Linked DNA regions of Nothobranchius furzeri. The protein of the gene in region 1 purifies or fractionates together with the protein of each later gene. This does not show direct contact. Links are inferred from orthologs where the notes say so. Each region holds a gene or a part of one and is shown in the gene's direction. Other genes may lie near its edges.

Region 1 (3,754 bases):
CAAAAGCATCCATCTGTTTTCTTCTGCTTATATGGAGTCAGCTTGTGGGGGCAGCAGCCTAAGCTAAGAGGCCCTCCCCAGGTTGGGCCAGCTCCTCCAGGGGAATCCCAAGGCGTTCCCTTGCCATTCGTGTGACATAGTCCCTCCAACATGTCCTGGGTCTTCTTTAGGTCTCCTCCAGGTTGGACATGCTCAGAAAACCTCACCATGGAGGCATCTAGGAGGCATCCTAATCAGATGCCTGAGCCACCTCAACTGGCTCCTCTACACCGAGCCCCTCCGGATGACTGAACTTCTCACCCTATCTCTAAGTGAGAGCCCAGAAACCCTGCAGAGAAAACTAATTTTGGCTTCTTGTATCTGCAATCTCGTTCTTTTGGTCACTACCCAAAGCTCATGACTAAAGGTGAGGGTAGGAACATAGATCGGCCGGTAAATCGAGAGCTTCGCCTTCTGGCTCAGCTCTCTCTTCACTACGACAGATCGGTACAACGTCCGCATTACTGCAGACACGATCTCATCCCACCTGTAAATCTCACTCGCCATCTTTCCCTCACTCGTGAACAAGACCCTGAGATGTATAAACTCCTCCACTTGGGGCAGGATCTCATCCCTGGACCCAGAGAAGGCATTCTACCCTTTTCTGACTCAGGACCATAGTCTCGGATTTAGAGGAGCTGATGCTCATCCCAGCTGCTTCACATTCGTTTGTGAACTGCTCCAGTGAGAGACGGAGATCACGTTCTGATGAAGCCATCAGGACCATGTCATCTGCAAAAAGCAGAGACCCCATCCTTAGGCCACCAAAATGAATGCCTTCAACACTTTGGCTGTGCCTCGAAATTCTCCATAAAAGTTATGAATAGAATTGGTGACAAAGGGCAGCCTTGGCAGAGTCAACCTCTCACCGGAAACGAACCCGGCCTACTGCTGGCAATGCGGACCAAGCACTGACACCAGTCATATAGGGACCTTACAGCCCCTATCAGAGGGCCTGGTACCCCATACTCCCAAAGTACCCCCACAGGGTCCCCCGAGAGATGCGGTCCAACACCTTGTCTAAATCTACAATTAGTTTAAATCCAGACCCTAAAAGTGAAAGCAACAAAATCAATAAAAGTTGGGAAACAAAACCATAGCAAAAGAAATAATACAAACAATTGATCCAAAATTAAAGAGAACATATTAAATAAATAAACAAAAATGCAAATGTTTCATATCGTTTTTTTAATTTATTTTTCACATTTTAAATGTAGCCCTTTACTCCTAAATAAACTAATCTCTTAGGTCTTTATTATATGCTTTTATCCGCAAACGTTTGTTCGTCGGTCAGTTTTACTCCTGACCACTAGATGGCAATGAATGTTTGAAACTATTTATGAACTGCTTAAGCTGAGAACCAACACGCATGCGCAAAACAATTCTGTCCATCACAGTTTGTCGTTAGATTTGTTTGGGAGAACGTAAGTTTATTTATAATATTTAGCTAGTATTTTGTTGTGCAGTTCGCTGAGCAGTAACGCTAAAACATTGATTAGGCTATATTTAATTTCATTCTGATAGTTTGTTCATTTTGGTAGGTTTAAAACTATCCTTGCATATATGGTAGCACTGTTAGCATTGTCAGAACGACGTCCATCGATGCTAAATGCTAACAGTAAAATGTGCGCGAAAGGATAGTTCAATATAGGGATTTTCTAGTTATGTTATTAAAAATTAAGACGTTTCAACCTAGAATCATGACAAATTGATAAATTGATGAAAGGGGTGTCGGGAAGAAAGTCTTTATGATTTGAGTTATAGATTTAACACATACACGCATACATACATATACAGTCCTGACTAATGTTCACTATTAATACTACATTTAAGGAACTGTGCCGCTCAGATATTCATTCTGGCTGCTGTAACACATAGCGTTACCATTTTATCAGCAATTATATGAAAGTTGTTGAATTTATATTTATGATAGTGTTACTACGTGCATACTGCTTTGTACAGTACTTATAGTTGTGAATGTTTTCTACATTTGAAATAGCATATGTTTCTCAGTTTTATAGGGATGGTAAAAATAAAACACCAGGGGTTCAGTTTTAACTGAACTGGCTTTTTCTGTTTTTTGTTTTGTGTTTATTTGAAGAAATACACGATACATTATGTTTGGTCTGTCCCTTTGATGCTATATGTTTATGTTGTCTTTAGACTGAGTTCATCACTTCAAAAAAATGGATTTCCAGCATCGAGCTGGAGGGAAGACTGGAAGTGGAGGGGTGGCGTCTGCCTCTGAGAGTAACCGGGACAGGCGTGAACGGTTACGTCAGCTGGCTCTAGAGACCATCGACATCAACAAGGACCCCTATTTTATGAAGAATCATTTAGGTTCTTATGAATGCAAACTTTGTTTGACACTTCACAACAATGAGGTGAGGAGGCACTTAACGGATTGGATTGGGCTATGTTAGAATTTTTGATATTTGGGAATTGTGTTTCTAAAGAAAACCCTCTACTTGATTTTAGGGCAGCTACTTGGCTCACACACAGGGAAAGAAGCATCAGACCAATTTGTAAGTCAACCTAAAACATTCTCTAACACAATTAATTGCTACTAGTTCAATATTTGTCAGTAAACATTTTCCTGTATAATTTTTTCTTTCTGAGTTAAATCTTTTCTATTTGGTGTTTTAGAGCACGAAGAGCAGCCAAAGAGGCAAAAGAAGCGCCGGCTCAACCAGCTCCAGCAAAGGTTAAAGTTGAGGTCAAGAAGTTTGTCAAAATCGGTCGACCAGGATACAAAGGTACACTGGCTGCATGGTTCTATATTAGATCAACATTATTTGGCTTTTTGTAACAACTTTTGATCCTCGTCTTTCTCTTTTTTTCACAGTGACAAAACAGAGGGACCCAGAGACTGGTCAGCAGTCTTTACTTTTTCAGGTGAAAATAAAAAATATATTTTAATTCTGGAAAAATCCTGCTGTGTTTCTGGGAATCTGAGACACTTGATAATAGGCTTTATGCTTTATTGTTCGTGTGAAACCAAAGTTAAATGCCATCATATGTTTAGCTCCACTTTAATTATTTTCCAGCCCAATATAACAGTTTTGCTCCCATTGTATGACCCCATTGTGGACACCACTTGAAGATGCGTTGCAGATACAAAACAAACTCCTATAGTTCCTATCAGGGCAATAATAACCAGATGTTACAACATCTGACAAGTTGTTTTTATTTCCCATATTAATCAGATCGACTATCCAGAGGTTGCTGAAGGAATTGGACCCAGGCACCGTTTCATGTCTGCTTATGAGCAGCGTATCGAGCCTCCTGACCGTCGCTGGCAGTACCTGCTGTTTGCTGCTGAACCATATGAAACTATTTCCTTTAAGGTGGATGAAAACTGTAATTTTTGTCATTGTGCTCATGTGTCACATTTCCGTAACATTAAAATGTTTGCTCCTTTAAGGTCCCCAGCAGGGAAATTGATAAAGCAGAAAACCGCTTCTGGACTCACTGGAACAGGGAAACTAAACAGGTACTGACTCTGCTTTGTTTTTACTAAAAAACTAATTTAAAAAATTTTCTAATGTATGAATGTTTTGTTTTCGTTCAGTTTTTCCTGCAGTTCCACTTTAAAATGGAGAAAGCCATTTCTGGTGGTCCAGCTCCTCCTGGCAACTTAAAGCACCCCGCTTCACTTATGAGTGGCCACCCATCAAACGACGGTCTTCCACCTCCACCACCAGGAGGGATGTCT
Region 2 (3,754 bases), on another chromosome or scaffold:
ACCACGGGATTATAATAAGAAACACAAAGTAAAAGTAACTAACATTAAAAACATATGAAAGTGTGAGGGCCTTATTCTAGAAGTTTGAATATATCCAACAAAGAAGATAGTCTCTGGGCATCTTTCTTCTCCACATAATATAAACTTTTCTTGAACAGTTCCAAATCCTTTTTCCGTCCGCTTACATGAGGCTTAACCTTGAGGAATTTACATCTGTGTATAAAAGGTTTTCCCAGCTAAATCAAAACATTTACCAAGAAATCTTGATGTTTGTCTTTCAAAAACAACCCCACTTATAGCAACCAGTTTAACGGACTTACTGTGACATGCTTAGACAACAACCAAGTGTGAACAGAACACCAGAAATATTTGAAGAAGAAGAAAAGAAGAAGAAAATATCATTTCTATAGCGCCTCTCAAGATAAAAATCACGAGGCGCTTCACAAAAACAAAAACAAAAATATAAAAATTGTAAAAATATAAAAAAGCATTTCGAAAATGTTTAAAATATATTTAAAATGAGCAAGATGTTGCGATTTAAAAGAAAAAATGTTAAGAAAGAGAGAGAGTGAATAGGAAAGGGGGAAATCAGTGGATCCTGAGGAAGGTGGAATAGGTGGGGAGAGCAGAATAAAGAGAGAGAGGTGAAGAAGGTCATACAAAAGCCAGCTTGAACAAGTGAGTCTTCAGCTGCTTTTTAAAGGAGACCACTGAGTCCACTGATCTCAGGCTCAGGGGGAGAGAGGTCCAGAGTCTGGGGGCCACAGCAGCAGATGATCTGTCACCTTTGACCTTTAGCCTGGTGCTGCACAACCAGTAGGCTTTGATCACTGGACCTCAGGGACCTGCTGGGGGTGTAGGGACTAAGAAGATCACCAATGTAAGATGGTGTTTGTCCATGTAAGGCCCTATAGACCAGAACCAGGATCTTGACACACTCACATTAAATTAAAAAAAATATGTTCTACATTTTCAATATTATTTTCACAAAAACCACATGAATTATTCATCCAGTTAAATCTAACATGTAGAAAGTTATTTGGATAATATCATTTAAAATTTTGAATGTTACTCGACGCAAAACTTTGTTGAGTATAATTCCGTTTCGTATTAGAACATTTACAGGTATGTATAAATGTGGATAAATAGGTCAAGAAAAACGTGTTTAAATCAATTATTGTTTTAAAAAATGTAAGATAGCACAAAAAGAGCGTAAGCATAAGTGAAAAGTTATTCGGATATTCGTTAAAATTGTAATAAATAGGACATCCGCTCATTAAAAGTGGGTCCTAATAAGCACCGCCCCCCTGCTCATATCCGGTGTGACACATCCGGTGAAACACCGGGGCGCTAATCGTAGTGTGTGTTCAGGTGTGACCAGAAAAGGTGAGTTTTTCCTTCATTTAACTTAGTTTGAAACAAGTTTATTTATCAGTAACGCGACATGGGAGCAGATGAATGTGTTTTTTATGTAAAAGCGATGCTTGTTTGACTAGAACTTCGTCAGAAAGGGATCTGTTAGCCACCGAGCTAGCTGATGCTAACATGTTTTCAAACTGAAAAATCTTAAATTAAAAACTTAATTTTCATCAGCCTGATCCCACGCTGTTAAAAACCGGTGTTTTTATTTTTAGACATTCATATACATTTATTAACATTCGCGTATAGTTGAGTTTAGGATAATTTTGGTATTTAAACAAGAGATTTTGAGTTCAAAAAGTTGAAGTAAAATCTAATTGTACTTCGAAATCCCCCAGATTACCGAAATTTGATACCAGCCCGTCCCATTGATCAACTGTTATTATTGTTATTATTATTATTATGGGTTCTCCTGTTTTCAGACACTTATCATGGACATCCGGCCAAATCACACGATTTACATCAATAACATCAATGACAAGGTGAAGAAGGAAGGTGAGTTGAGCTGATTTTACATTAATTTACATTTATGGAGCACCTCTCTAGACACGAGTATTAAAGTTTTGCACAGAGAACATCACAATATAAACATACCAAGCAAAAACAACAATTTTAAGGCTTAAATCCTTTTAAAAAGATACGTTTGTAAAAGAATAAAAGTTCAAGTCAGTCAACATGTTGCTGCTTAAACACCAAGTTAACTGATAAACTGTGTTTTTCTTTTTTCAGCTTCATTTTAATTTTTAAATGAAATCATACAGGCTGAACTGGAAAATAGTCTTCTGTTTCCTAAGTTAGCTGCCAACAGATCAGAGACGGGGAAACGTTGGGATTCCAAAGCCCAGACAGACCCAGGTCACACTGAAAATTAACATTCATGGATTCACCCATCTTGGCACATCTCTTGTCTCCTTCCTCCCGTAGAGCTGAAGCGTTCTCTCTACGCGCTCTTCTCCCAGTTTGGTCAGATCGTTGATATCGTAGCCATGAAGACGGAGAAGATGAGGGGTCAGGCCTTCGTCATTTTCAAAGAGCTCACCGCTGCCACCAACGCCTTGAGGCAACTACAGGGCTTCCCCTTCTATAACAAACCCATGGTACGCAGACTGTCATCTTTTCCAGTTTTTGATCTGCTCTGTAGTCAGACTGTAAAATAACAACCTCCCAGTTAACCACACACACACACATGATACACATAGCACATGCATCCAATGCACCATACTAGTTGTTAGTTGTGTGCAATATTATTTGAGTGTTTCTGGTTTAGCGTGAATTTTTTTCCCATTACTGGTGAAGCGTGCCGTGTTGGTGCGGTTTAATGTCTTTATTGTACTTTAGTGTTCTGTAAACTCGCTGCTCCTACCTTTTGACTGTCCTCTTTCTGTCGTGACAAAAGCAAAATTCCCACATGAGAACATTAACAGTTTGCCTAACCTAACCCACCGGCAGCTTGGCTTTGTCTCAGGAGCAGAGGGGGTTGTGGGCCCTCTCAGAGCTGCAGGTCTGACTCGGGTCTTGTGTTTTCTCAGAGGATCCAGTACGCTAAGACCGACTCGGAGGTCATCTCCAAGATGAAGGGCACGTTTAGTGACAAGGAGAAAAAGAAGGAGAAGAAGAAGAAGGCTCAGGAGCAGGCGGCAAATGCCGCTAAGAAACCATCGGCGGTGAGTGTTGCTTCTGCTTCGTGTGACTTCTCTGACCCAGACCCGACTCTTCTGGGTTGAGGTTATTTTAAAGGTTCTGGCCCTGTTGGTCCAAACCCTGCTGACCAGCATCAGAACACCAAAATGTTGTGTAAAGGTTTATGATTCACTTGTGTTCCTTTGCAGGTTTCAGTTGTGCCTGTCCAGACGCCTGCTGCTCAGGTGAGAAAACCCACATCTTTACAATACCTGTGAGCTTTCAAACCTTTTATTTATTTATTTATTTTCTTCTCAGGTTCCAGACAATCCCCCGAACCACATCCTGTTCCTCACCAACCTTCCAGAAGAGACCAATGAGATGATGCTCTCCATGCTCTTTAACCAGTGAGTCCAACATGACCTCCTCCATCCAGAACCTCAGCCACCTGAAACCAGCTGAGTCGTTTTAGTTCCAAAAGTCAGAATTCTTTTGTTTCTGCGACTCGCAGCAGAATCAGAACCTGAATCGAACCAGCAGAGTGGGGAGGGCGCTCAGGATTTGTCATGGGGGTGAGCTAGAGGAGATCTGTATGAGAAACAACAATGACGGTGATGGTTTTTGTCAGACTGAACCCAGAAACGGCTCTGGGCAGCGTGGCGGAGAACTATGGAGCAACTGCTGACTCCTGGAGTTGTGTTTTTGGCTCCGTACC

The links. Proteins that work in one complex are often made in the same cells at the same time.
Region 2: the proteins of sf3a2 (region 1) and snrpb2 purify together in Homo sapiens (affinity purification with mass spectrometry; 6 studies listed by BioGRID and IntAct, with this or other methods). This does not show direct contact. The link is inferred for Nothobranchius furzeri from reciprocal best matches to the Homo sapiens genes SF3A2 and SNRPB2.

Annotation. Positions count from the first base shown.
Region 1 is NC_091751.1:56,891,677-56,895,430, forward strand, and holds the start of sf3a2 (splicing factor 3A subunit 2), read left to right. Parts: upstream 1-1,374; 5' UTR 1,375-1,463; intron 1,464-2,202; 5' UTR 2,203-2,225; coding exon 2,226-2,423; intron 2,424-2,517; coding exon 2,518-2,564; intron 2,565-2,685; coding exon 2,686-2,795; intron 2,796-2,884; coding exon 2,885-2,934; intron 2,935-3,245; coding exon 3,246-3,386; intron 3,387-3,463; coding exon 3,464-3,532; intron 3,533-3,610; coding exon 3,611-3,754. UniProt on the Homo sapiens protein: Component of the 17S U2 SnRNP complex of the spliceosome, a large ribonucleoprotein complex that removes introns from transcribed pre-mRNAs.
Region 2 is NC_091746.1:29,740,330-29,744,083, reverse strand, and holds the start of snrpb2 (U2 small nuclear ribonucleoprotein B''), read left to right. Parts: upstream 1-1,285; 5' UTR 1,286-1,386; intron 1,387-1,841; 5' UTR 1,842-1,850; coding exon 1,851-1,914; intron 1,915-2,343; coding exon 2,344-2,516; intron 2,517-2,948; coding exon 2,949-3,083; intron 3,084-3,248; coding exon 3,249-3,284; intron 3,285-3,357; coding exon 3,358-3,446; intron 3,447-3,754. UniProt on the Homo sapiens protein: Involved in pre-mRNA splicing as component of the spliceosome. Associated with sn-RNP U2, where it contributes to the binding of stem loop IV of U2 snRNA.